4 linked regions of the Astyanax mexicanus genome follow. The protein of the gene in region 1 purifies or fractionates together with the protein of each later gene. This does not show direct contact. Links are inferred from orthologs where the notes say so. Each region holds a gene or a part of one and is shown on either strand. Other genes may lie near its edges. The genes, in order: pomk, ghitm, lrp6 and tmem59.

The links.
Region 2: the proteins of pomk (region 1) and ghitm purify together in Homo sapiens (affinity purification with mass spectrometry; 3 studies listed by BioGRID and IntAct, counting the BioPlex papers as one, with this or other methods). This does not show direct contact. The link is inferred for Astyanax mexicanus from reciprocal best matches to the Homo sapiens genes POMK and GHITM.
Region 3: the proteins of pomk (region 1) and lrp6 purify together in Homo sapiens (affinity purification with mass spectrometry; 3 studies listed by BioGRID and IntAct, counting the BioPlex papers as one, with this or other methods). This does not show direct contact. The link is inferred for Astyanax mexicanus from reciprocal best matches to the Homo sapiens genes POMK and LRP6.
Region 4: the proteins of pomk (region 1) and tmem59 purify together in Homo sapiens (affinity purification with mass spectrometry; 3 studies listed by BioGRID and IntAct, with this or other methods). This does not show direct contact. The link is inferred for Astyanax mexicanus from reciprocal best matches to the Homo sapiens genes POMK and TMEM59.

The regions. Positions count from the first base shown.
Region 1 is NC_064414.1:27,798,438-27,806,258, reverse strand, and holds the start of pomk (protein O-mannose kinase), read right to left. Parts: upstream 3,011-7,821; 5' UTR 2,853-3,010; intron 1-2,852. Other genes in the region: grxcr1b (glutaredoxin domain-containing cysteine-rich protein 1), read left to right, coding at 5,730-6,119. UniProt on the Homo sapiens protein: Protein O-mannose kinase that specifically mediates phosphorylation at the 6-position of an O-mannose of the trisaccharide (N-acetylgalactosamine (GalNAc)-beta-1,3-N-acetylglucosamine (GlcNAc)-beta-1,4-mannose) to generate phosphorylated O-mannosyl trisaccharide (N-acetylgalactosamine-beta-1,3-N-acetylglucosamine-beta-1,4-(phosphate-6-)mannose).
Region 2 is NC_064422.1:16,584,808-16,591,983, forward strand, and holds the start of ghitm (growth hormone-inducible transmembrane protein), read left to right. Parts: upstream 1-4,166; 5' UTR 4,167-4,261; intron 4,262-5,542; 5' UTR 5,543-5,571; coding exon 5,572-5,703; intron 5,704-5,864; coding exon 5,865-5,967; intron 5,968-6,431; coding exon 6,432-6,543; intron 6,544-7,176. UniProt on the Homo sapiens protein: Plays an important role in maintenance of mitochondrial morphology and in mediating either calcium or potassium/proton antiport. Mediates proton-dependent calcium efflux from mitochondrion.
Region 3 is NC_064409.1:30,628,080-30,634,973, reverse strand, and holds the start of lrp6 (low-density lipoprotein receptor-related protein 6), read right to left. Parts: upstream 3,010-6,894; 5' UTR 2,480-3,009; coding exon 2,425-2,479; intron 79-2,424; coding exon 1-78. UniProt on the Homo sapiens protein: Component of the Wnt-Fzd-LRP5-LRP6 complex that triggers beta-catenin signaling through inducing aggregation of receptor-ligand complexes into ribosome-sized signalosomes.
Region 4 is NC_064425.1:41,516,516-41,524,467, forward strand, and holds the start of tmem59 (transmembrane protein 59), read left to right. Parts: upstream 1-4,929; 5' UTR 4,930-5,038; coding exon 5,039-5,197; intron 5,198-7,083; coding exon 7,084-7,189; intron 7,190-7,838; coding exon 7,839-7,933; intron 7,934-7,952. Other genes in the region: U2 snRNP-associated SURP motif-containing protein, read left to right, coding at 1-68, 808-918, 1,002-1,135, 1,996-2,163, 2,980-3,118.

The sequences.
Region 1 (7,821 bases):
GCTTCGGAAATTCTCAGTCAAGTCATCCGGGCTTTAAATTTAGATGCGCGTATACGTGCGATTTTACGGTAAACAGCCGCGCAGGCGGAGAGCACGCTTAAAAAACACAGAGAACGGGAGACCGACACGTTTCAGTCTATTATATTAATTCAGAATTAATTGGGCTTAATTATTCATTAATTCATACATTAAGCCCAGAAACGAGAAAAAACGGATTAAAATAACTCACCTCACTGTATATTTTGTGCAGTACATTATCTATTTGATATAATATCCCATCAGTGTTTAAGAGAGAGAGAGAGAGTTTTATATTAATATTACTTTTTTCAATCCATGCTTCAAATTAAATTTCTCATGAGTTTCCCAAAAAACCAAAACAGATCCAGTACCTTGTAAAAGAGTCCATCCTAGACTATCACTTCTGCAAGTGTGGGCAATTTTCACTGTATGGTTTATTTTATATTAATAAAAAAAATTGTATGCGTGTTTAAAATAAAAATTTTCATGATTTTCCCATAATGCCAAAACTGGTCCACTACCATTTGAAAGAGTACAACATAGGCTGTCACCTCTGCAAGTTAGGGCAAATTTCACTGTATTTTTTATTTTATATTTTTATTATTATTATTATTATTATTATTATTATTATTATTATTATTATTATTATTGTTTTTTTTATTCATGTTTAAAATTAAATTTCTCATGATTTTCCCATAATGCCAAAATAGATCCACTACCATTTGAAAGAATCTGTCCTAGGCTATGACTCCTGCGAGTTTGGGCAAATTTCACTGTTTTGTTTATTTTATATAAATTTTATTATTTTTTATTTATACTTAAAATATGTTTTTTTTCATGATTTTCCCATAATGCCAAAACAGGTCCACTGCCATTTGAAAGAGTATGTCCTAGGCCATGACTCCTGCGAGTTTGGGCAAATTTCACAGTTTTGTTTATTTTATATTAATTACAAAAATATATAGATATAAACATATATATAGTATATGCATATTTAAAATTAAATTTCTTGTGATTTTCCCATAATGCCAAACCAGGTCCACTACCATTTGAAAGAGTCCATCCTAGGCTATGACTCCTGCAAATTTGGGGAAATTTCACTGTTTTGTTTATTTTATATAATTTTTTTTTTTTTTTTTTTTTATGCTTAAAATGACATTTCTCATGATTTTCCCATAATGCCAACACAGTTCCATTACCATTTGAAAGAGTCTGTCCTAGGCTTTGACTCCTGCAAGTTTGGGCAAATTTCACTGTATTGTTTATTTTATATTATTTATTTATTTGTATTATTCATGCTTAAAATTAAATTTCTCATGATTTTTCCATAATGCCAAAACAGGTCCACTCCCATATGAAAGAGTCCATCCTAGGCTAGCTCCTTGACAGTTTTTAAAACTGCCGGCTTACTGTCAGCAAGCTCCCTGACAGTTTTTAAAACTGCCGGCGTACTGTCAGGAAGCTCCCTGACAGTTTTTAGTAGTGCCGGCATACTGTCAGGAAGCTCCCTAACAGTTTTTAATACTGCCGGCGTACTGTCAGGAAGCTCCCTGACAGTTTTTAATAGTGCCGGCGTACTGTGAGAAAGCCCCCTACTGTCAGGAAGCTCCCTGGCAGTTTTTAATACTGCCGGCGTACTGTCAGGAAGCTCCCTGACAGTTTTTAGCAGTGCCGGCATACTGTCAGGAAGCTACCTGACAGTTTTTAAAACTGCTGGCATACTGTCAGCAAGCTCCCTGACAGTTTTTAGTAGTGCCGGCGTACTGTCAGGAAGCTCCCTGACATTTTTTAAAACTGCCGGCGTACTGTCAGGAAGCTCCCTGACAGTTTTTAGTAGTGCCGGCGTACTGTCAGGAAGCTCCCTGACCGTTTTTAAAACTGCCGGCGTACTGTCAGGAAGCTCCTTGACAGTTTTTAGCAGTGCCGGCATACTGTCAGGAAGCTACCTGACAGTTTTTAAAACTGCCGGCATACTGTCAGCAAGCTCCCTGACAGTTTTTAGTAGTGCCGGCGTACTGTCAGGAAGCTCCCTGACCGTTTTTAAAACTGCCGGCGTACTGTCAGGAAGCTCCCTGACAGTTTTTAAAACTGCCGGCGTACTGTCAGGAAGCTCCCTGACAGTTTTTAGTAGTGCCGGCGTACTGTCAGGAAGCTCCCTGACAGTTTTTAAAACTGCCGGCGTACTGTCAGGAAGCTCCCTGACAGTTTTTAGTAGTGCCGGCGTACTGTCAGGAAGCTCCCAGACAGTTTTTAAAACTGCCGGCGTACTGTCAGGAAGCTCCCTGACAGTTTTTAGTAGTGCCGGCGTACTGTCAGGAAGCTCCCTGACAGTTTTTAAAACTGCCGGCGTACTGTCAGGAAGCTCCCTGACAGTTTTTAAAACTGCCGGCGTACTGTCAGGAAGCTCCCTGACAGTTTTTAAAACTGCCGGCGTACTGTCAGCAAGCCCCCTGTCAGTTTTTAGTACTGCCGGGTACGTGCCTGGCACTGCCGGGTCGATGAAAAAGTGGCTGGCGGGTGACGTCACGCAGACCCACCACTGCCGCCCGTCTCCCGGCAGGCAAAGATCCAACCCCAACTGCTAAATCATCTACTTTCAGCTACTTTCATACTGGGCATTTATAACCTTCATATATATATTATTTAATATTGCTTATGTTTTAAGTTAGACATTATGAATCTTGTTTCCTATAAAACTAAATGAAAGTATAAACAGTCAGCAAATTTCTTTAAACTGAAGCCTTTTTACTAACCCACTAGTTAAATGGCTTGTTATTGTTTAGTGCAGAAACTAAAAGCTCTGATCTGCTAAACATTGTTTCCACCACACTTACCGCACTGCGCTGTGTTCATAATCAAGTCCACCAGTCACTCAACCATTCCTACGAGGATTGAAGTTCAGCTGCTACATTCTGTAACTGATTAAGCTTCACTGTCTAACTACACCACTGTATTCATCCTGCTCTGTCTTCTTCTTCTTTAAAACGAGATTTACCAGTTCAACTGTGATCTGAGAGCTGCACTGCCATCTAGCAGTAAATACTGTTCATTACCACACGCCTTCTACCTGGATGATCCGGTGCCAGATGGCAGCTACTTTGCTGAGCTGCTTTTAGAGTATAAACCATTAGTGAGTCCATCATTTTGTAGTGCTGTTCGAAATCCCAACAGTACATTGTATCACCTATATAAATCAACATAAAATACCCATAATGCATCACAAAATGTACAGACGAGGCACACTAGAATTCCCATGGAATTTATGCATGGTATCATGCATTATTATGATATCATGCATGATACCATAATTCAAAGTGGTGGTGATGTGTAGGACAAGCTCAGAACGACACAAAGACGGTCTGTTTAGTCGCTCCCTTATCAGCTCACCACCATCCCATCCAAGGGCGTAGGAGCAGGTTTGATATTGGGGGGGACACATTTGCCAATATGAACCCAAGCCCACCCTATAGTTTCTTAGAACAACATTTGTGGAAATTACTTTAAATCACAAATAATATTTTTTTTTCTGTATTTTGTTTTTTATTAGTTAACAAGGTGATTTTACAACCTAAACATGTTACTTCACATTACATTTACTGTTGTAAGAAAAAATTATGCAAATACATATACATATGACAAAAATGATCAGTTATCACCTAATATTTAAAATAATATAACAGATTTGGTTATTATTATTATTATTATTATTATTATTATTATTATTATTATTATTATAATCATGTATTGGCATGTCAATTCTGTTGTATATTTACATTTTCTCCACTCTTTAAAAAAAATCCTACGCTTTTATTTTTTTATTAAGAGCTCTTCTAAAGATTGGTGTCCTTTTATGTAAAAGAATGTAACTTTACGTTTCATAAAGATTTTAATTATAAACGTCAGGACATGTGGCCTTACTGTGAACCCTGTTCTTACATATTCTACTGAATATTAACACTGTTCTACATATTCTAGAGCTTTCTCTGCTTTAAAGACATTTAATAAAGTAAGTGGTGGTATGATGTGTCTAATACACTGCTGGATATACATGATTAAACTCAGTAAACTCAGTAAATGACTGTTTATTAGCTGATCAGCTGGATCAGGTGGAAAACACAATTTTGGGGCAGTGATCAGGGTTAAGAAACTGCTTTAAACTACAAACATAAAGTACTGTACTAAATTCTGACTATCCACTATCTGGCTTCTAGATAACTAGTTAACTAAATGAATTTTTGTTCATTATTGCTCACAGTAAATCCTGTAATCCTAAATTAATAAAGACAGTTTAAAAATGAAACAGTAATTAGCTGATCAGGTACAGGGCAAGTTGAACATTACGTATATAGTTTATTTTTTCTTTAACGTTGACTTCCAATCTATCTAATTCCAAAGTTAAGCTAACTCACTCACACAGCTGCAGTTTATTAATCACAGTGGGTTTAAACTGTGTGCTGATTTAGAGTCTTGTATTTTTAACCAGCTATCAGAAACATCATCACAGTTTATGTGGTTAGCCTATCGTTACCTTTCTTTTAGAAAAATCCCCGTATATCCAGATCTTAATCAGCTGAAGCTGCTGCAGCCCGATCCCGCTGCTAAATCTCACAGCGAGGGGGCGGGGCTTCCCCCACTAGCACACCGCGGGCCGCAAAACCAGCAAACTGATTGGCTGTTCGTGCTGAGAGGCGGGACTTAATACCTGAACCGGCTCCGTGATTGGTCCGGTCTGTCTCCTCATTAATAGTACAGCTGATCTGAGCGAAACGATATAATTTTTGGGGGGGACAAATCCACCAGTTTCCAATATTGGGTGGGACATGTCCCACCCATCCCCCCCGGTTCCTACGCCAATGATCCCATCCATCCATCCATCCATCCATCCATCGGTCCATCACTTAGAGAGGCACAAAAGCACTATAAAGTGATTACAGTCAATTAAACCAGATTTTAATCACTTACGAAAATGTGTAAATTACTTTACGATGTTCAAAAACACTTTTCACTTACTTTCTAAGAATATTTGAATGACTATTTTCAAATATTCCAAACACTTTAAACAAGATTCGAATCCCTTTTCAAAAAATATTTTAATTACTTTCCAAAATATTCATGGATCTGTAACTACAGACACGATGGGCTGAAGCTGCTGTAAAGTCAAGCAGTAAAAACGTGGCGAGATGGTGAAACTCAGTAAAACATGGAAACTTAGATTGCAGCGGCTTTTCAATCTGTTCAGAGCTTTAATATCAGAAATCTCTCTACAACAGAGATGTAAATATAGTATTACTCATACAGCATCCTGACAAACACACAAACAAACAGTCACCACTGTAAATACACAGATCAGGCAAGAGGCTGCTAGTTGTGGTAGTAATGATAAATTGATAAATAAATTAAATACTTAATAAACAAATTAATTTTATTTTAATTTAAATAAAGTTCACGGGTCTTTGGAGCTTCTCTGTTATAATTTGTTCGTTATTTTTTATTCAGTCTGTTTTCTTCGTCTCCATGGATCAGCTTCATTCAATATTAACACATTCGGTGTCAACTTGACACCTTCGTTCTCTCTATCTCTCTCTATCTCTCTCTCTCTCTCTCTCTCTCTCTCTCTCTCTCTCTCTCTCTCTCACACACACACACACACACACACACACACACGAGCGCGTTAGAATGATGTAGTTTGGTGTGTGTGTGTGTTTCTGCTGATGGAGAGAGAGACGGGGACCCGCACGGAGCGCAGGGTTCGGTTCCGCGTGGCGTCCGCGCGCTCCGGCCGCGTGCTGGCGGAGGTTTTTCGGGAGGAGGCGTTTGAGGACCCGGCGGACTCGGACACCACCGGCAGCTCCGAGCCCGAGCGCGCGGCCTCGCCCGCCGCCAGCGAGGCCAACAGCCACCTGAGCGTCCCGGCGGGAGCGCGCGCGGACGACAGCGGGAGCGAGCCTGACGAGCTGCTTCTGTACGCGAGCGGAGCGAAGGAGAGCCTGTTCAGCGGGAAGCGCGTGACCATCCGCAGCAAGAACGGCACAGTGCGCGGAGTGAGGGACAAAGTGAGCGCGGGACAGATGCTCTTCAACTCGCTGGCCCGAGTGTACGGGGTGAGTGACGGGGCTGCGGGCTCAGAGTAACAAGTATCACTTCAATTTTCTCACCTAAAATAAATAAGAAAATTAGGTATACGTTTTTTTTATCCTTTTAAACATTTTAAACATACTACTCGCATTTGGTACAGTAAAAAAATATTTTCCAATTGTTTTTCAATTTTTTAATTGTTAATTTCTCGCCCTCACATTTTGAATTTCCCCCCCAAAAAATAATAAAAAAACATTGATTTTCCTTTATTAATTTGATGGTATAATCTTTTGTTAAATATAAACCTTTGTTAAAACATGAAAAAATGGAAATTTGGAAATCAAGATTATTTTTTTCATTTTCCCAAGAACTTTAGATTGTGAGGGCATTAAGGAAAACTAGAAAATTGGGAAATTAATTAAAAAACAATTTCTTATATACTACACCAAATAAATAAAATACTATTTTTTCTATTTTCATATTTAGCCTCAAACAGCCAGAAAAAAGAACTGATAAATATTAAAATAACCCTAGAGAATGTGTAAGATTTCTTGAAACAATCAACAAAGTATAAATAAACCTAGAGCAGGTGGGTGTGTCAGATAGAAGCAGGGCATTAATTGCTGGCTTTTGTTCAGACCCAACAGTAAATATAAAGGTGTGTCTAATATCCCCATTCCAAAAAATGCAGAATGCAATGCTTTGCAATTCTCACAGACCCATAAAATAGAACACATATCAGATGTTGAAAGTCAGACCTTTTACCATTTCATGAGAAGTATTAAGTTATTTAGAACTTGATGGCAGCAACATATCTCAAAAAACTAAACAGCTGCAATAGAAGCAATCTGCGACTAACTCATTGGGTATAAAAAGAGCACTTTAAAGTGTCAGAGACTCTCAGAAGCAAAGGTGGGTAAAGGTTCACAGATCTGTAATATTCCAAAAAAAAAATTCTCAACAGAAATTTGCAGGTACATTGCATATCCCATCATTTACAGGACATAAGGTCATTAAGGGACAAGGCCAACAACAGTATTGGATGCTGGTGATCTTTGGGTCCTCAGGTGGCACTGCTTTGATTTTGTACTGGAAACCACTGCTTGAGCTCAGGAATGCAAGTTTAATCTCTTTCATGCAAAGACGAAACCATGGGTCAATGCAGCCACCTTACCAATTTACCTCAGTTTACTGAACTGCTCTTATTGCAGCTGTTTTTATTAGTATCACTTACTTTTCCAGCCTTTTGTTGCCCCGTCCCAGCTTTTCTGAGATGTGTTGCTGCCATCAAGTTCTAAATTAGATACATTTTCCATAAAATGGAAAAATGTCTCACTTTCAACATTTGATTTGTTTTCCTTGTTGTACTATGAATAAAACATAAGTCTATGAAATTTGCAAATCACTGCATTCTGTGTTTATTTAAATTAATTCACATTTTACACATTGTCTCAACTTTTGGAATTAAGGTTGTAGTCTATTACGTATTAAAGTCTATATGCATAGTCTGACTTTTTGCAGTTTCATAATTCAGTGGATTCAGTCACTTTTAGGAAAAAAAGATGAACAAAAAAACATACTTATTATTTTTTATAGAACTTTTTTTATTTAAGAAATCTTATAACACATGCCACATATCAAGGGGCATGGAAATATTATCTTGTTCCAAGATATTTGCCATGCCCTATGGATATTCTAGTTGTTTACTAAACCGGTATCTGAACCTCT
Region 2 (7,176 bases), on another chromosome or scaffold:
ATATATCTAGAACCAGCAGTCAGACTATAGCTTCGACCACTAGACCAACACTCTAACCAGCACGGGTTCTCCTTCAATCTACAAAGGTTTTCCACCGATCTAAAGAACCACGTGGGCATCCCCGTCTACAGAACCATTGTAGAAACATTTTTTGTTACAAGAGTGTGAATAAAAAACCTTCCAGATCTGGGCTAAATTGTTGGTTCTGCTGACTTTCCAGACTGGAGTTATTTTAAACTGAATCAGTTTCAGGTTCTAGATTTTTGCAGAACCCAACAAACACTGCCATCCATCCACTTACATCTTCACACACCTGTAGGTTCCTATAGGTATAGGCTGGAGGTACTGAACTGCATAAGATATCTAAATTTACTCTTACCGACCAGTTCACACCTAGACCCAATATCCTTAACACTAAACCAGTCTGAAATGAACCACTTTTTCACACAACACATACAAATACATGTGAAATATTCTTGTCATGTGCTTTATATTATATCATATATAAAAAAAAATAATGTAATTAATTCACAAAACATATAAATATTCCATTGCGCCTAAAACATTTTAACCACACTGTAACAAACATTTGAGCAATTTAATTGTAATTATTTTAACTAATTAAATTGATTGATTGATTAAATTGTTTTCTAAGCTCAACTAGAGCTTGTGGACTTTATGTTAATTTAATAAAGTGGAAATTCATTCCTGATACCACTAATGTACACAGTGGGTGGGTCTCCCTTTCTCAGTGACACCATCAGTGTGTAGTTGTGCCGCCAGGCACAACTTCTCTTGTGTATTCTATTATGCTTTATGCAAGGGTGGACTGGATACCCTCTATGTTGATGGCTATGAAAGCAAAATGCCATTTGTTGCATGGATCACTGTGTATTATACCACACTTAGTTCCGACCCTGCAATGTAATTGGCTGAGAGGCGTTTTATGAGTGACATTATCAGCCGGTAATGCACTGTAACTGAAGCACTCCATGTATTACTCTGCCACATACAGGTAACCTAGCATTGATGCAGCGTTTACAAGCCAAACAGCGCAGCTACACACAGAGCAGCAATGGAACTATTTTAACTTGCACGGAGTTTATAACCACATTGTATTACAAACACATTGTATTTAACTAAAAATCGTTCAATAACCAGCGATAATGGACACTTGAGTTTCCTGCTATAATGCACTATAATAGCAGTGCTACTGCTACGTGCTATAGCTCTCCCTCTCATGTATTATTGCTTAAATAACTCATTGTCATATTCTCTTCCATTTTTCACTTCCACCTTCAGGAATCTAAGTAACAAAGTTAAACTACTGGTTTTCTGGAACAAGTAAATAAAACTCATATTACGGAAATATTTGTATTTTAAACCTGAATTGCTAAGTTGAAACAATGTGTATTATGTAGTTAAATCACAGAACTCACAGAGAGGAGCCAACAGTCAAATCAGACATAAAGTCATTCAAATAAATGTAACTTAAAACTTTATGACTTTACTTTTAAACTTACGTTTTTGACTTTTAAACTAACATCTTTTACAGTGAAGTTGATTATCCAGAAAGCAAACGTATATGATTCATAAACATGATTTTTTCCATCTGTTATGCATTAAAACAATGTTGATCTCTGAAATCAGAAACAATTTATTTGTGCACATCAATTTTAAATTTAGAATTAATTTAATCTTATGCATTTAATATGTTGTTTGTTATAAATTTTCTTACATTTAATATGTATGTGTATCCTTAATATGTTTGTGTTCTATTCTAAGTGGGTGTAGAACTAGCCCCAGTCATTCAAATCCTTGAAATGACCATTGATTCAAAGTCAGAATTTCAACACTAACTGATGCCTGTTTGCAACATTATTTATTCAACATTGCGTAATAAGCAGCGGTTAAGGTTGAAGGTTATTTTTTTCACTATCAGTATTAAAAGATAGTAGAAGTAAATAAAAGGAGCTATAATTAACAGTTTATTCGGTGTTCTTTGATATCAGGGTAACCAGTATTTGAGATGACAGCTAGAGACCGAGACTTTTTTTTGCTGTTCCTTATTATTACCTTCCGTTCAACTCTGACCAGCTTTCCAGTCAATGCTAAAGAAAATCACCCTCACAGCATGATGCCACCACCACCATGTTTCACAGTGGGGATGGTGTGTTTAGAGTGATGTGTGATGTTAGTTTTCTGAGACAGAGATATAGAGTTTCACATTTATGCCACAAAATTCATCCTTGGTCTCATCTGACCAGATCACCCCTTCCAAGTGTTTGCTGTGTCTCCTAAATAACAGTAAGTATTGGGACTTGATGTCATCACCCACATTAGCTGGAATTAAACATAGTAATCAGCTGAATCAGGAGACTTAGGAGGTGAAATAAAAGCTACCACACTGACTCCACCTGCTGGCCACTGTCGGAAACTGCAGCAAATCTATCTTAGTCTTAGATAGATAGATAGATAGATAGATAGATAGATAGATAGATAGATAGATAGATAGATAGATAGATAGATAGATAGATAGATAGATAGATAGATAGATAGATAGATAGATAGATAGATCTCATCAGGGAGTCTCTCGGCTCGCACATTTACAGGAGAGCAACTGCAGCAAGTGCGTGTGAAGCCTCCAGCCGCGTGCAGCCGCGAGGTTTTAACGGTGCCAGTGGATCGAAATTCCCCTCACACACCTGTGATGCTGTTTCTGTTCATTGTAAATGTTTTAAAAATATATACATAAATAAACATAAATCTCTCTTTAACAAAATAATGCACATTATACTGATATTTGTGTCATTTGTAATTTAATTAATGTAAACCACACATTTGTTTAATTTTATATCTTTTAATTTATAACTGTTGCTTTGTTTTAAAATACTGCACACACAAATAAGCTTGTTTTATAGTTATATCTGTTATTATTATTATTATTATTATTATTATTATTATTATTATTATTATTATTATTGTTGTTGTTGTTGTTGTGGTTTTCATTTTAAAATGACACTGTTCAGCAGTGTAATCAATTATATCCCAGCACAGTTGATGTCATCACCCACACTAACTGGAATTGAACACAGTTACCAGCTGAATCAGGAGATTTAGGAGGTTAGAGAAAAGCTACAACACTGACTCCACCTGCTGGCCACTGTTGGCAACTGCAGAAAACCTCTCGGTGTTTTCACTCTTAGTGAATACAGTAGAAATCTGAAAAAATGAAAGATAATCATTTTGACTTTTTTTTTTACTATTATTTTATTTTATTTTATTTCTAAATGTTCAGACTACACAGAAATCATATTTTCCAGCTTTACCACTTCATATTTCTATTTTTCATTTCCTGACACGCATGCACCACCATGTTATAGCAAGCTGCATGACAGGGTGGACAATTTTAATGAAAAAAATTTAATTGCAATTTGATAAAACATGGTTGAGGTAGAGTTGCAAACATGTTAAATTGTTCATGATGACCTTGCTCTGTTTCAAAAATACATTTTTTTTTTCACCACGCCAGGGTGGACAACTTAAGTTTTATCTCACATAAGCATGGAGATAAAATGAGGAATATTGAGTTAAATTAATATAATTAATTGGTGAACATGCAGCAAGTGTCTTAAATCCCCTAAAAAATAAACATGGTGAAGGTTGTGATCTGTCACTGACAGGGCGGGTTATCTCAAGATGACAGGGTATACAGGAAATAGCTGGACATGCTTAAAAAGCATTTCCACTTTTATAACAACAACAACAACAACAACAAAAACAACAACAATATTACTACCACTACTACTACTACTACTACTACTACTACTACTAATAATAATAATAATAATAATGGCAGTAACGGTGATATAACAAGCTTTCTTGTTTGTTATTATTATTATTATTATTATTATTGTTGCTGCTTTCATTTTTAAAAGGGGGAAATGCAGACATAAATTAATATATATTTATTTTAATTATAATATATTTTTAAATATAATATAATCGTTATCAGTTTATTTAAAAAATGTTTTATTATTATTATTATTATTATTATTATTATTATTATTATTATTATTATTATTATGTAGCCAGTGTAGAAAAAAATCTATTAAATAACTTACTTGTCAATGAACTACATCTTCCACAATGCACTGCGAGCGTGGTTCATGATGTAACAGGAGAGAAACTTCCGGAAGGTCGTGACGCTTGAGTTTGCGCATTTCTCAGAGGTGAACCCAGAAGTTCAGGCTCGGTTCGGGTGAGTTTGGGATTTTAAACGCATTTTTAGTGTATTTATAGTATTAATATAGTATATAATTAGTCCCTGATATACAGTCCGATCCTGTCTGAGCGCTGTTTAATTCACACAGCTCTGTTTACACAGCTTTAACTGTTAGCTTAGCCGTGTTCTGAGAGCCTGACTAAGAGGAAACAGATCAGATCAGATTATTCTGAATATACTGTACTCTAATCAGTGGAACTGTGCGTTTTTAATGGTTTAAATTGAATTATCTTTTAGAACTGTAGTCTCCCCTCTTCAAAATCATTATACATTGTTACATCACGCATCAAAATGCTTATTCTAATGTTAAGTAATTACTGGCTACATGCCACACATGTTACCTGTGGCCAATAAGTTACATGGTTAGATATGTATTAGGTAAATTCTAATTATAGTGTATGCTATCCTAATAGAACTGTAGCTGTTTAACTGTGCTGTGTTTCTGTATGTAAGAGTCGTTGCTGTTACTGTGCAGAAAAGCCTATGCCTGTACCATAAAAAATAAGAGTATAATGTACAGCTTATAGCTTGAAGTTTTGCACCAGAAAGTGGCTTAACGTTATCCAAAAGCAGTGTGTAAGACTGGTGGAGGAGAACATGCCAAGATGCACGAAAACTGGGATTAAAAACCAGGGTTATTCCTCCTAATAGTGATTTCTGGACTCTTCTGGAAACTTGTTTTCTTTGCATTATTTAAGGTCTTAAAGCTCTGCATCTTTTTTTGTTATTTCAGCTATTTCTGCAAATAAATTTTCTAAACTACATTATTTTTATTTGTAAGAAATGTTGTCTGTAGTTTATTGAAAAAAACAACAATGTTCATTTTATTTTTACATATACATATAAATAGCTAAATCAGGGAAGATATCCTGTGTTATATAAATCCATTTTTCTACTTTTTTCTGTTTTTCTGTTCAACCTATCCTAATATTAAAACAAAAAAAATGTTCTGTCAAGATTTTATAGTACATATTCATATAGAGGTTTATGCTGTAATATAATACACGTTTTATTTCAGCAGGTAAGCTGTAGTTTGTGGAGTTTAGGTTCTCAAATAAAACAGGTTGAACCTCATATCACCACAGCTGTAGCTGTATAAACGCTCCAGAAAATGCTGAGTCATTTTGAACAGGGAGTTATGTATAGCATAGCCCCGCCCCCTCCCCACACAGGTGCTTGTTCATGGCTATTGGCTGTAGTGTCTGTTAAAAAGACACCACTGTTTATTTACATATCTTTATCTGTCTTTATCTCCAGAGGTTGTTGTTCACTACACTGATCTGAAGATGTTGGTGGCGAGGCTGGCATGCCTGCGGACTCTCCCTGTGGTCGGGCTGCGCTCAGCCTTGACCCAGGGCACCCCTGCCCTGCGGAGCTCCGCCCTCAAAACCTGCCCCCCTCTGCTGAAACCCCAGCAGGTGAGTAGAGAGTTTTTACATAAATGTATACAAACCCCTCTGCTAATCTTGTAGCTGTTTAATATTTTAGTCAGGTTTTGGTTTAAATAAGATAGTTCAGAAACTCTAAATACGTACAGTGACAGTAATCTGATTATATTGTTTTTGTTTCTGTGCCTCAGGGTTTTTCTTCCAGAGCCCGGTTTGGAATTCGGAGGAGTAAGACTGCTAAAGATCAGCTACAGGAGGCAGCGTTCGAGCCAGCGACAGACACTGCTATTAAAAGTGAATTTACACAATATGCACTCTATAATATACATAATATACCGTTATATTCTCCTGGAGAAACCTAATTGTTTATTTTCCTGGATATTTAGACTTATTGGAGACTGCATTTGACTCTACAGTACTGGTACAGAGCAAAAATAACACATTTGAATTATACAGTTACTAAAATAACCATATATAGGCAGTAAGTGTATTAGTAAAACACTAATTTTATACTTATATTATATAAATAGTTGTACTAAAGGCTGTGGTTTTGCATCGTTGGATATTTCCTAATCTTGCCCATAGTCTACAGGTTCTTGGTAAACTGCAGCTTTCTTCTTAAAAGCATTGCAATTCACACACTAGGTGCAAAGATTTGTGTATATTTTCATGTATATTTTTGTCACTTTTTGGTCATAATGTTTACTCAAGAACACAAGCTCTCTCACTCGCTTTCTCTTACTCTCTTTCACTCTCAGTTGATACCATGGGCAGGATGATCCTGGCTGGCGGAGCAGCAGTCGGAATGGGAGCGCTGTGTTATTATGGGCTGGGCATGTCCAGTGAGATCGGAGCTCTGGAGAAATCAGTGTAAGAAAATGTATAAAGTGTGCCAATCATCTGGATTAAGACATGTTACCATTTGCCATTTTATGTTTATGTTCATTATGTTATTTAAAACTGTTGTCTTTCTGCAAATCTGGACCTGTCCCAAATCAGTGAAATAAATAATATATGTTAATAAAATTTGTACAGATACAGGTTCATTTAAAAAAATTAGAATAGCATTGAAAAGGTACTTTATTTCTGTAATTCAGTTAAAATGTGAAACCCATATATTATATAGACGTATTACACACAGAGTGATCATTATTGTTGATGATAATGGCTTACAGCTGATGAAAACACATTTTTCCGGGAAAACACTGCACTGATTTTAGACTTGATAATAAAACACAGTGGACCAACACCAGCAGATGTCTCTCCAAACCATCACTGATTGTAGAAGCTTCACACTAGACCTCCAGCAGCATGTACTGTGTTCTCCACTCTTCCTCCAGACTCTGATCCCTTGATTTCCAAATGAAATGTAAAATTTACTGATGATCAGTGATGGTTTGGAGAGACATGTCATCTGCTGGTGTTGATTCACCGTGTTATATCAAGTCCAAAGTCAGTGCAGTGTTTTCCCAGAAAATCTTACAGCACTTCAAGCTTCCCTCT
Region 3 (6,894 bases), on another chromosome or scaffold:
CCGTGGCGTTCCCACGCCCATGAGCGGCGTCCACCAACCGCAGGTCACGCCGGTTTGCATACAGGAGAAGCGGCACAGCTGAGAGTGAGAGGGAGAAATCAACAAATATATTAGCCTGGCAAAGCAAAAATCCCTCCAATATATAAAGATATTTCACAAAACAAAATTTAATATGTGATGTGTAATTACTTGTTAAACAAAGGCTTCCCCGTATGGAAACAGGTTACACTAGCTGAGAGATACAGAAGCAGTATCTAAAGTGAATGAGGCACAGTGACTGATATGCCTGGTAGATTAACATTCCCAAATGCTGTCCATCCCAAAACAATCTTTCATTTATCATAATTTTGATGATTTTGATTTGAGGTCAGCAGTACGAACTTGGCACACAATGTAAACCTAAGCTCACGCAGACAATGCCACACATCAGAACACAGCTACCTTCTTCTGTTACAAGCAGCAGAAACTAAACAAATGGAGCTCTAAAGCAAACAGCACTGATATTCTGCCTTTCTGTCTTTAACTCAGTAAACAAGTAATAAGAAACTTCAGATCAAACTAAGTTGGCAAAATGTAATTTGTGACTGAAGTGCTAATTTGCTGCCTTATCTAGAGTTTTAAAAGCATTATAGAAACGTTTGCATTATGTGTCTGCTAACAGGGCTCCTGTACAAAAATAAACTGACCTAAGAACTTCCCCAGATCTGTATCTCTTACCTCTGCAGGGTTTTGGCACTGACTCAAACCCCAATTTGACACATTGACCACTGCTCTCCAGCGGATCACTTTGGAGGGCAACCTCAAGTTCCCAGTCTCTGACCGATTGACTGGCCTGCTTGCCGTTATTTTTGTTTAACATGAGGCCTGTGAATTTCCTTTCCCAAATATTTATAATCTTGCAGATCACCAAGACAGCACATTGAAGTCCATCCAACACCCTTCACTTACTAGCCAAGTGTAAATACAGGGAGTATTGCACTTTTTGGACAGTTGATACTTGGCTTCTGATCATATAATTTTTGTAGCCCATCTTAGTTTGTAAACATTTTAACAGGTTCTGAAAGTCAGTTTGTTTGCATAAAGGTGGCATTCCCTCTCTACCAATTTTTTATTTTTACCTAAGAGCTTTAAACAGTCACACAGTACGAAAAATATGAGCATCAAACACATTTTAAAGCAGAATCTGCTTACCACTAATTCTAATACCCTTGTGATACACTTAATTTTAAGCATACAACTCTCAAATTACAAGCGCCTTTATTATTTTAACTACTCCACAAAATCAAAATCTTAAAATGTTATTATTATTATTTTTTTACCTTACCAACACTCCAGGGCACAGGTCAAGGAAAGAATGGCTGTGTAACAGATGTATAAAAGACGATGTGTAGCTATAAGTATCTGAAAGTGCAGCTCTGCAACTTCACTCATTTAATAAAAATAACTACAACAAACGTCAGACATCTTTGATAATCAACTGTGGATCACCGTGAACTTTTAAACGATACGTTTAATATGTATTTGAACGTTTCATAAGAATATTAAGGATTACATGTTAAGGAGAATAAAACGCCAATGAATCTCACAATTATTATTATTATTATTATTATTATTATCATTATTATTATTATTATTATTATTAATAGTAATGTTGCCTTAAAACCTTAAAAAAACAAAACACCCAATAATAAGGTCTAGGGCCTCGTTAGTGAAAGTTTAGTGGGGTTGGTGCTGACAAGTTCGGGAAAGCCACGACATCCCTGATCCATCACTGACTGCAGAACCCTGAGAGTTTCAGTGCTGAGCTCTGCTGTTAGCAAACATTCTGTAACGTTAGTTACCTAGCTCAGATTTAACCTTCAGACAGTGAACTCTCCCCTCTCACTGCGGACAAAAACACACTGAGTAAGTTAACTGACTCGCGTTTACTGTCGTTTCTCGGTCAACATTATTCGATCAGAGTCGGGTCTCTGCTGAAAGTGTGGAGCTGCTTTAGCCAGCGCTAGCAGCACAACAACCAGACTAGCTACAACAATACGAGCAGAACGGCTAACTCTCCGCTCCAGCCGGGCGCAGATCACCTACGGGAACGCTTCCCTGCTCTGTGGTAAAGCAGTAAAACACGGTCTGGTTCGTGTTGTTGGTACCTGGGCTAGTGGCTTCAAGTTTCTGAAAAAAAAAACGGGCTGCAGCTCGGCCTGGGCTACACGCTCCCCCGCAGCAGCAGCACTCAGGCTAGTGCAGTAGCTCCGTCTGCTCCCCGCCGGAGTGAAGCTCGCTGAAATATTGGGACACTACTGGAACACTGTAAACCAACTAAACCACCAACACCTATCTGCCTGCTGGAGAGAGAAACGAGCACACCGCTCAGTTCAGAACACCCAAACACTTCCCAACGAGAAAAGGACGACAGTCCAAACTCACCCCGTATTTGCAAACAGAAACTACACAAAAAGAGACTCCGCAGCACGGCGCCCATCTTTCCCCCGTTCTCTCGCCTCTGCTCCTCTCTGCGGCCGGATTTCAGCGCGGGGCTCGCATGGCTGTGTCCTGCTGCCCGCGCAGAAGTGATTCGAGGGTTTAGGGTAAGAGACTTCAGCTGGAAGTGCTGTTATAAAGCCACCGGGGCCGCGGGTTTTCTCCGCTCCATTCTTTCTTTCCTCTCTCGAGCTTCAGCGGCGCTACGATTTCCCCCCTCCACGAAAAATCCTGCCGCCGGAGCGCAGCCACTCGCCGCCTCTCGAGCCGTGTCCTTCCGCCAGCAGGAAATGCTCCCTGAAATCACCCGACCGCTGTCTATTGTTTGTACCGGAGTGTCCCGAGTCAGATACGAGGTTTATCTTAAAAACACAGACACCGGACCTCAGCCGCCCGTCTGTGCCGTAACCGACAGTGTGGAATTTCAGCCAAAGCGCGGGACCCGTGCGTTCAGCCCGCTTGTTTTAAAGCATGGGAAACACATTCCGACGGGACTAGTTTTTCACGGAATGGTCTGGTGCTTCGACCTGTGTGTGTGTGTGTGCGCGTGTATACGTGTGTACACACACACACATCTGCGAGTCAGTGCCGAGGGCTCACACGCTGGTGTGGAGAGTACAGAACGGTCACCAGTCCAGACGAGCCGCTTCAGAGCTGGATAAGAAAGTTTGAGCAGTAAAGCAGCGGGTATACCCCGATTAGACTGCTGAGGATCAAACCGAGTGACTTAAATTCCCTTTAACTGAGTCTAAAAAAAATCAACATGGGTGGTAAAGCAAGAACATTTAAGCCATAGCATTGTTATTACAGTATTGTAAATATCATAAAAGAGACTATATGCAAATTCCAAGTATTATTTCATCAGTCACACCAGGCTCAAACACTTGAAAGTATTTCAAACACAGTTATCTATGGAGTTATTTTTGTGCCAAAAGTTATATATACTTGTACTTGTAACTATATATACTATATATATATATATATATATATATATATATATATATATATATATATATATATATATTTGGTTACTTTATTATTCTTTGCAGTTATTAAATTAGAACAATTATTTGTTTGTATTTTGGCAGCCTCTGCTTTTATTTTTGTGTTTTTGTCTCTTAGTTGCTTTTGCTTAATTATTTGTGTCCATATGTGTATTATCTGCAATTCTGATAGCAGATTTTATAATTTTGTGTAAAACTTTTCGCAACTCTACAAATATCCTGACAATTTTACGTGCATTTTTACTCTACATAGACAAATTAATTAACAGGACAAGGGCACTTTAGTGGGCCATTTAGATTTCAGCTGGAACACTGGCGCTCTTGCCCCGCCCCTAGAATTGGAAGTGAGCAAATTGATCACACTGTAAATGCCTAAAACAATAATTCCTTGTGACATGCCATTTGTGTTGTCATTTTGTTTTCTAAAAGAGTTTCTTGATAATGTGTTGTCCTTCATAATTTTTATTTTTACCTGGATCTCAACGATCTCAAAAGAGATACAAAAATGTTTTAATACATTAAATTTAGGCTATAAAACTTGATTCACATTCCGAACTCTCATTCGGAGTGTAATCCATCGTGTCCACGACCACTTCGCTAGGTGGCAGTGTCGCGAAAACAGGGTCCTAGAACTGCGGTCCTGAAACTGCAGGGTCCTAAAACTGCAGTCTCCGAGGCTGCAGCTATACCCTTCTCAAAAAATCACACCAAAATATTAAGAAAATATTTCTAGCAAAACAGAAAAAATATTTACTAACAAAACATTGTTGTTTTGTCTGGTGTAAGAGGAATTTACATATAAGGGAACACAGGGTGCATCCAAAACTATTACTAATACCAGTGCAAGTGCAGCATACAGTATCCAACAAAAGTGAAAACACCCCTCACATTTCTGCAAATATTTCATTTTATCTTTTCATGGGAGAACCCTATAGAAATGAAACGTGGATATAAATTATAGTAGTCCATGTACAGCTTGTAAAGATTTACTGTATTCCTAAAACATCTGAACACTCCCCACAGCCATTAATGTCTAAATAGCTTGCAACAGAAATGAGTGCGCCTAACAGTGAAGAATTGTGCCCAATTGTCCCCCTGTATCTCCCTGGTGTCATGTGACTTGTTGGAGTTTCAGAGTTCCAGAGTTCCAGGTGTGATTTTGGGGGGGATTCTCTCATTCTGGCCACTGGATATTCAACAATCCACTTCATGGAAATTAAATGAGAATGTGAGAAACATAATTGTTGCTCTTCACAAAGATCTAAGCTATAAAAAATGCTAACACCCTGAAACAGCATGGTGGCCAAGGTCACACAGCAGTTTTCCAGCACCAGAAAGCTTTTAAACAGTTTGCTGAAGACAAGCAGTCCAAGAGCATGGATTAATGGAACCATATCCTGTGATTTAATTAGAACAATACAAACATGTTTGGCTCAGACGGTGTCTAGCATGTGTGGCAGCACCATGGAGAGGATTACCAAGAGAACTGTCCCTTGTCTACCCTCAAGCATGGTGGAGGTAGCATCATGGTCTTGGGCAGCATAAGTGCTGCTAGCACTGGGGAGCTGAATTAGTGTACATAAACTGTGATATTTTAATGCAGAGCATGATTCCCTTCTATCCCAAACACACCTCAAAAATTACATCTGCCTTGCTGAGGAAGCTAAAGATAAAGGGGATGGACTGGCTGATTTTTTAATCATGGGGGAGTGGAAGAGGATTCCAGTGGCAACCTGTGTTGCTCTGGTGAATTTCAAGCCAGCCAGTCACAGGTGGTCAGTCAGTAACTCGGACAAAGGCAAAAAGTTGGAAATAGTTTTGACTGGATTTATGGGGAACAGAGAAAATGTGAATCAGGCAGGCTGTATCCTGGATCTGCAGCCTTTATCTAAGAGGAAACATTAATTACCAATAGCTAACCTAAACAATTAAGACAGTATTTGAGACCCGAACATCTTCAGGAAGGTCATTCCAGAGCTGAAATACCCTTGCTAAACTCCTCTTAATTCTGACAACTGGCATATTTCAGTTCCCAGTTGAAGTTGAAGTTTATTTAAGGTTTTGCTGGAACATCCTGACAGTTGCGCATTACAGTAGTCCAACCTTGATTTAGTGAAGGCATATAGGAATTTGTCTGTGCAAGAATGAGGCATTTCTTAGCCTTTCAATGTCATTGAATTGTAAGAAAGCTGTTCTGGTTAGAGTATTGTTTATCAAATTCTAGATCTGAATCCATGACAACACCAAGATTTTTAGCTGATGAACCAGGTGTGAGATAAATGTAAGTCTGATAATTTATATCTGGAAGATTTAAATCATAATTGGAAGGTATATAATTTACCTTCACAAACTAATAATGATCACGTAAATATAATTTAAACCATGATATGGCTGTTCCAGTTACACCGACCATGTTCTTTAACTTTCTAGAAGCATAGTATGATCTCTTGTATCAAAGGCTGCACTCAGATCAAGAAGTACCAGCAGGGAAACACAGCCTTGGACAGCGGTATGAAGCAGATTGTTTGAGTTAAAGGCTTCCAACCTAACTGGCTTTTGTTCTGGATGTGCTATTTATCTGTTGATTAATTTTTCAAATATTTGAAATTGAATTATTGAACAAGTCCATAAAAGCCTTGCTGGTGTGAATGGCTGCAATCTGAGTTTCAGTACCTGCCTGGTTTCAGTCAGTTTGGAAATAACACTAAAGAGAGCTCAAGGATTGTTTTTATTAATGTCAATCTTGCCAGATACTCTGAGCAGATCTATTAAACAATACTGTCCTTTTAAGCAAAGTGGAACACTTCCAGAGTGTAAAAGGTTTATGGCCTTTTACACTCTAAATTTCATACTAATTGCTTTAAAGTACGCATTTGATCATTGTACCATGGGGCAAGCTTTTTCTGTGTCTCTTTTCTGTATTGAAGTGGTGCTACCCTATTTTCTAAACAATCGGTTAGTTTATCTAGCTCTATTGGGTCTGCTGGAAAATACACTGTGCTTGATAAATTAGGGAGGTTACCAGTGAATTGTCATGCTGTAAATTATTGTTTAGATATTGTTTTTTTAATGGTTGATGCCGATATATATAAAGCCGATATTTTTGTTGCAAATGATTGTTTTTTAGTTTGTTCCCCCCCATTTATTTATAATAATAATAATAATAATAATAATACACATTATAACCATCTGAAATTACAGTATTGAAATAGTTGAGTACTTTAAACAGACTTTAATTCCAGTGTTTCAAACATTGAATATTTGAGACCTTTACACTTGGAAAGTGTGCAGTGTATGCAAAGAAGAGACAACAGAATCTTTTACAAGTGATTTAAAACACAAAATATGGGTAAAATATTTACACAAAATGTACAACAATCATATCTTACCTCAGTCAATCAGTGAGATTACA
Region 4 (7,952 bases), on another chromosome or scaffold:
ATGAATCCAAATCCAGCAAGCTGTCGGAGATGAGTGAGGAGAAGCGAGCTAAACTGCGGGAAATCGAGGTACGCCTTACATTTCTGTTTAGGATTGAAGTTTTGAGAGTTGGCTCATGCAAATGGTGAAATGAACAGTGTCAACAACCAATATATAAAATATATGATATGTAAAATACCTTTCGGTAAAAGCTGAAGTCTAATATATTTTTGACTAAAAGCTAATGTCCAAAATCGTTTGAGTAGAAGTTCATTTTTTAGCCTTTAAACTTCTTTAAAAGTCTTTGCATACATTTAGCAGCTCAAGGTATTTGGCAATAAAATGGTAAGAGAAAACAATGCATAAAAAGTAAATATTATCTAATCTAAAAGAAGACAAAATTAAGTGACAAAAAATTGGTATGTGGAACTTTTTTTATATTTAAAATATATTAAGATTTTTTTTGTTTGTTTTTGTAGAGTAATGGTGTGTGCAGTGTGGAGGGTTGTAATGGTTTAGTAAATGTTTCCCTGAATTACAGTAATAAGGAAACACTCTACGTTTTATAACGTCTGGATATTGATAATGTTGCCTGAATAATTCAGAAAGCATTACCAGCTACTCTTCTAGGTCTAATCTCCCGTTGCTCTGCTGTTTACATATGTTTTACATTAAACGCAAATTGTAAAAAATCCAATAATGTTTGTTATTCACAGCCAGAGGTGTCTGTATTGTTACATCCCTAGTCTGTGTGTGCTGAACTGCTGCATCCATTAAGCATATCATTTTTTAATCTATTTGTTGAATAAACCTGTGCTTTTGTTGCAGCTGAAAGTGATGAAGTTTCAGGACGAGCTGGAGTCTGGAAAACGGCCGAAGAAATCGGGACAGAGTATTCAAGAGCAGGTGGAGCTCTACAGGGACAAGTTACTACAGAGGGTGAGATACAGTTCTCAGAACTTTTCCTGTTCTTATAGAACAGAACAGACCTGTACTAAAGGGTTCATCTTTATCTCTTTTAGGAAAAGGAAAAGGAGGTGGAGAAAGATAAAGAGAAGGAGAAAGAAAAGAAGGAGAAAGAGAAATCTGAAGTGTCGCACAAAGAGAAGGAGAAGGAGAAGGAGAAGGAGGAATCTTCATCAAGCAGAAAAGAGAAGTAAGCTGCATTCTGGAAAAACAACACCAAGTCTCAGTTTAATAAATGGCAGTTCACCTGCAGGATGGATGAGATTGAGGACACTGATGTGCTTCACTAAATATTAAACCAAATTTATTTCTTAAAATTATATTAATTGTCCTAATTGGATAATCTGGAACCCAAAAATAATTGTTTATTCAGTGTTCAGTTGTGCTTATATGTGTTTAGATATACCTGAAACTGATCTGTTCCGTTTGACTGTATTATAAATAAGTGGGAAAGAAAGTGTACCAAAGTGTCGTGAGCTTTTGTTTTATAATACTGTATCAATTCTTAAACACCATATTTATGGCTAATTATTAGTTTACATGTAAAGATTGGAGTTTGAAGTGATTCATTTTGTTTCGTTTAAACCCTGTCCACTAGATAGCTATGTTTTACTCTGTCATTAGATCCCACTGTTCTGATTGGATAAGTAAAGTGTCAGGCTGTGTATTGGCAAGAACCTGACTAGGCGATATGATGTGGCTCTATACTGTGATACTGTAAGAAAGGCAATACATACAAAGTTTTTGTCTAATTTTAGAAAAACTGTCATAGTACAAACACTAATATTTATAAAGCAGAGTAAAATTAAAGTTTACTTTTTGTGAATTAAAATATTTAGTGGATGGGGATTAAACACACAATAAATGAACCACTTCTGACACCAATCCTGTGTAAACTAAATTAAAGATGCTGTGTTTTTGAAAATCGATACAGTTTTGCACAACATGGTTCTGTGTATTTTTGCATGTTCTTCTTGAATGCTGTAAATTATTTATGCAGATTTGTTTTATATATCAAGTATGTGATGTTTGCTTTCTCTGGTTCATCAGGAAGCGCAGGCACAGTCCCTCCCCCAGTCCCACCCGCAGTAGCTCCAGCCGGCGTGGCCGGTCCCCCTCCCCACGGTCCGAGCGCTCAGACAGATCCTACACCAAGGACAGCTCACGCACCTCCTACAAAGACTCGCCACGGGAAAGCAGCCGGAAAACCTCCAAAAGGTCAGTTTACACTTAAATATAGATATATTAAACACAGAGTGAGCGTTTATTTCTTATATTGTTAATTTTCTGGTAAACACTGCACTGACTTTGGACTTGATGATAAAACACAGTGGATCAACAGCAGCAGATGACATGTCTCTCCAAACCATCACTGATCATCAGTAAATCTACATTTCATTTGTAAATTAAGGGAGCAGAGTCTGGAGGAAGAGTGGAGAGAGAGACAGTCCAAACTGCTCGAGGTCTAGTGTGAAGTTTCCACCAATCAGTGATGGTTTGGAGAGACATGTCACCTGCTGGTGTTGATCCACTGTGTTTTATTATCAAGTCTAAAGTCAGTGCAGTTTTGTTTTCCCACTAAATCTTACAGCACTTCATGCTTCCCTCTGCTACTGACAACTTTTATGGAGATGCAGATTTCATTTTCCAGCAGGACTTGGCACACTGCCAAATGTACCAATCAATCCTCTATTATAGTCTAATTTTCTGAGACACTGATTTTTGGAGTTTCTTTGACTGTTGAACATAATTATCAGCAATAAATAGATTTTAAACAGATCACTGTGTGTAATACATCTTTATAATCAGTTTCATATTTTGTACTGAGTTATTGAAATAAAGTAACTTTTCAAAGATATTCTTGATAATTCTTGATGATAATTTTTTGAGATGCACTAGTATATCTTTCATCAGACTCTTCCACTTCGAGTCTATTTACGTACCCTCCTGCAGACTCTTCAGCCAGTTCCGTGCCGTTTCAGTGCTCTCCATCACACTCTTGAATTTACCCTCTCTCTCTCTCTCACTTTGCAGGTCGCCTTCCCCACCCGCTACACCCAAACGGTCCCGCAGATCCAGATCAAGAACGCCCAAAAAATCCTCCAAGAAGTCCAGGTCCCGCTCGCGATCGCCACACCGCTCTCACAAAAAATCCAAGAAGAGCAAGCACTGAAGCACAGCTGCAGCTCCAGAACAGCTGGATTCTCTTTTTGTGCCTGAATTTCGTCCTGTAAATCCGTGTGGGATTCGTTCCCCATTCAGCCTCTTTAAGTCCCTTTGACCACTCCCGTCTGCACGTGTCCAGTGTCCTCACAGGTCTACACAGGGGTATTTTATATTGTGAATAAGGGGCTTCCTCTGACGTCTTAATTTCGCACAGCAGGAAAATAAGAGGCGACGTCTCAGAACTATGGTATTATTTTTGGTCATGGTTTTTAGATCCCTGCAAAATGACTTAAATTAAAATAGTGTGTATGTTTTCAGTTGTATAGTTGTTTTGATTTTCAATAAAGACACAGCTTATGTGACTCCTCTGAGATGTATGTTTTGTAAGTGATTGTAAACTGATATTTACAGAAGTGTATATATTTTTTTTTACTGTGATTTGTTGTACAGTTTCATGATTCAGGGTGATTGAGTATAGAACAACCATGGTGACCATACCTGTGCTGTGAGTACAGAAAGAATTTGCCTCTGCTTTTAATCCATCCATGAAGTTAACACACACAGTGTAGTGCTGGACAATAATTTAATATCTATATTTATTATCAGTTACAGTGATATAATAGATATGAGGGATAATACACATCCTATCAAACAGTATAACTTATTCTATATAATCAACATTTATTCTGTTAACATAATTCATTAAGAAAACTAATTGTTTTAGCTTGGCTTTTAATTTAGCCGTTAGCCATCTCCATTGACGCCATATAGTTTCATCCGTTAATTAGAAGCAAAAATCTAAACATTAGTCTCTTTCTCTTGAGTTTGTATAAAATATTTCTAGTATAACAAAATAAAAATATAATCGCAAAAAATAAACAATATACCACTCAACTAAAGTGTAGCATATTTAGTGTGTGAAGAGTGCAAACAAAATTAGTAAAGTAAATACTGTAAATAGCAAAACAAATACAAAATACACTGCTTTGTAATGATATTTACAGCACACAATGATGTACATTAGTGGATATAGAAGTCCAAGGCAAAAACATTTTGACAGGGCCTGACGGATATGATATGGCACTCCTCTACTTCTGATTATGATAGTCAAAATAATTTAAAGCTAAGGTTTTTATGGCCAAAATGCACAGTATTCTGATAATGGCCCTTCTATATGGAGCCAACATGCATATATGGATAAAAAAGGCCCCATAGTTATCTGGGTCACTCACTGCCTAATATATTAAACCCTTTACAGCAGATGTGTTTAAAGTCTGAGACTGGGGTCCAGTGCAGCCTGTGGATGGATATTATTGCCCCTCCGTCTCTGTTTTAAGAATTGAAAAGTGACCCAGGATTACATTTATGTTGTCCTTTCACTTCACAGTGGCTGCAGTAAATTAAACCACACTGTTATGGACGTTAATTCCTCTGACTGATTGCAAATCCAGTTATTTACAGAACAGCATTTAGTAATTGCAGTAAAAAAGCATCACCAACATTAGATTTTTTTATTCCTAATATCCTGTTAGATACTTCGATACTACACATCTCTGCTTATAACTGGAGTTTTAAAAGATTTTACAAGCAATATCTGGAATTCTGAAACATTTGATGTAGTGTTCTGTGTTGAGAAAATCAGTAATGTTTAGTATAAAAATGATTAAAGTTGTAAAAACTGTATAAACTCTGATTTTTCGTAGTTTTTCCATTGAAACCCATTCATTTTGGTCTCACTCTGCAGCGCCCCCTGGTGTCTGCTCTGTAGAAGTTCTCTGGATTAACACGCAGCGCTGATGTTTGTTAAACACTACAGGCGGAGCTCTCGCGAGATCTCGCGCTGCCGGAGTCGGAAGAGGAGCGGTGTTTGGAGCCGCTGTTTGTTGTTGTTTGTTTATTAGGTGTTTATCGCGGATCCTCGGGCAGAATGGCGGGGTTTCTCGGCGCAGCGCTGCTGGGATTTATCTGGGCCGCGCTGCTGTGCTGCTGCTCGGCGTCGGCCGACGTGTTTGACGGGGTTTTGGGCAGCACGGCCTCCTGCCACAGAACCTGCAGGATGACCTACAGCCTGCACACCTACCCGCGGGTAACTCGCATAACATACTAATAAACCGGCGATCAGCTCATCTATAACACCGATTTCTCACCAATACCAGCCTTAATCAATACTCACATCACTGCAGCAGCGTCGCCGAAACACCAGACTGAACCGTGCTGTTATTACTTAACTTCTTCTTCTTCCACTTTTCCATTCCACCTTAAATTCTCCTGCACTTACACTGTTGCATGCTGGCGCCTGCACTGAGCTGCTGCTGTAACTGCTGAGGGATTTAAGGTGGAACGGATAATTCTAGTACGCAGTACAGTATTGTTTTTGTTGAACTACTTTAAAGCCTTTATTAATGTTTAATAATTATTTTATGAAGCTCATAAGGTTTTAAGCTAGCCAAAGTTATGTAAGCTAGAAAAAAAGCAGTATTAAGAGATAAATATATAAAATCGTTTAACATGTTTAATGAGTTGTTCTATCAGTTTAAGGCAAAATTTATGAAATAATGCATTTTTTCTTGTATAGTAGAAAAGGAATGTAGTTATATTTTTTTCTATTTTTCATTTTTTAATTTCTAATCCCTTTTAATCTCACTTAAAAAAAAAACATTATTCACTCAGTTCTCCATTTTGAATCTTGTAAAACAATCTAGTGGTGTAATCCAGCCTACTTTTTTGTTAGGAGATGTAATGAGAAAACAAAGAAAAAACTTTTTTTTCTAAAATTCCGAGTATGGAAAACAATGGAAGCAATGACAATGGAAAACTAGAACTTTTATAAAATAGATGAAAACCCATTTATTCTTTACTGTAATAAATAAAAAAAGGAATTTATTTTTGTTTTTGGAATTCAGCCTGGAATTGATGGACAATACATGTAAGATTTTTTTTATTGAGGGAGTTATATACCTTTAATTGTGCAAATATTATTTTTCTCTCTGAACTCTTTAAGAGCTCTGTAGCGTCTGTAGAGTATTTTATTCAGTCGGCTGTCTTTAAATCGCAAAGAAATTAAATTTCAGGGATATATTTATGACTAATTAATTAATTAAAAAATTAATACATATAAAAGTAACTTTAATATTAATATTAAGTAATATTTAGTAACTGAGTAAATACTTTTAGATAAATATTAAATAATTTACCTAATTTTAAGAAGTTTATGATAAATTCAAGCGCCAAATTATTAACTTGAAAGATTAAATTATTAAATGGAGGTAGTTATATATTTAAGGAAGGGGAATATTTACAAAATTGATTCTTTATACACTTGACTGTCTTTAAATCGGGAACAGAAACATGTTAAATAAAGGAATCAGGTTATTGAATTGAGAGGAAATATTTACTTAACCGAGGAACAATTTTGATTTATTAGGAATTCTGTTAATATTTCTTTAAGAGAAGAATGTCTTTATTCATTCTTTATTGATGTGTTGAGGGATGAAGTGTTTAACTGCTTCCATTATATAAAGTGGGTGTGTATTATGTAAACATCTGTGTTCCGGGTCTCTTTCTTGGTGAAAAGAAACTCAAATAATGACCGTCTAATATGAACACGCACTTTTATTATGTGTGTTTTATCCACCAATCAGAGGTATGATTCATTGTGATAAAGGGCTTTCTTTTTTTTTTCCAGCAGTTCTTCCTCTACCTGGTTGTACAGAATTATGGTTATATATATATATATATATATATATATATATATGTGTGTGTGTGTGTGTATGTATGTGTATATATATATATATATATATATATATATATATATATATATATATATATATATATATATATATATATATATACATACATATCTATTTACATACATACCTGCATATGTAAACTCCTCTGTAGTTGTTCAGGATGGTAATGGTGTGGAATGAGTCCTGAGATAACTAAGTGTGCTGTGTTGTTTTTCTTGTTTAGGAGGAGGAGCTTTACGCCTGTCAGAGAGGCTGCAGACTCTTCTCCATCTGCCAGTTCGTTGGAGACAGCGAGAACCTCAATCAGACCAAATCCGAGTGTGATTCTGGTACGCTCACTCCTGCACCGGTCTTGAGCTTTTTATTTTTTAATTTTAAAACTGGTATTTTTCTGCTGCTCTCATTAAAAACTAGAAATTAGAATTTACGGGGGAATCCTATAGCAGTCTGGGTCTCCATCAGCAGCCAGAGTCTGAGATAGCACAATGTACCATGCTCTCTCTAGGCGGGTAGGTGGTGCTCTGTCCCCAGGCGTTAGCTGTTAGCTGATGTATCAGATCTAGGGTTGCGGCGCTTTCCTCAGCGTGGAGTAAAAGTGAATTACACTTGTCACCTGCAGAGGGGGAGGCCAGAAGCAAACAATACCAATTGTTATATAATACTGCATTAAATCTGGCTTTGGTAGTGTTTTAATCTATTTTATCTGTGTGTCAACATATAGTGTATTGTGATGCTATGTATTTGCCATATCGCCCAGCTCTGTATGATTTATATTACCCTCAGTTACTCTCAGAGAGAATGTGAAATGTGGATTAAGAGTGTAATGCTTTTGTTATTGAATTTGGGTTATGATAATCTTTATTTAATTATTGTTTCTTTAATTATTTCTATAATAATTCTCATTATTTAAACAATGCTTCATAACCAATGTGACTTAATTAATCGGTGTGTTCCTGTTTTGTCTCCTGGCTTCTGCAGCGTGTCATGAGGCCTATAGTCAGGGAGATGAGCAGTACGCCTGCAGTCTGGGCTGTCAGAGTCAGCTTCCATTCGCTGAGCAGAGGCAGGAGCAGGTAATGACTGAAGACTGCT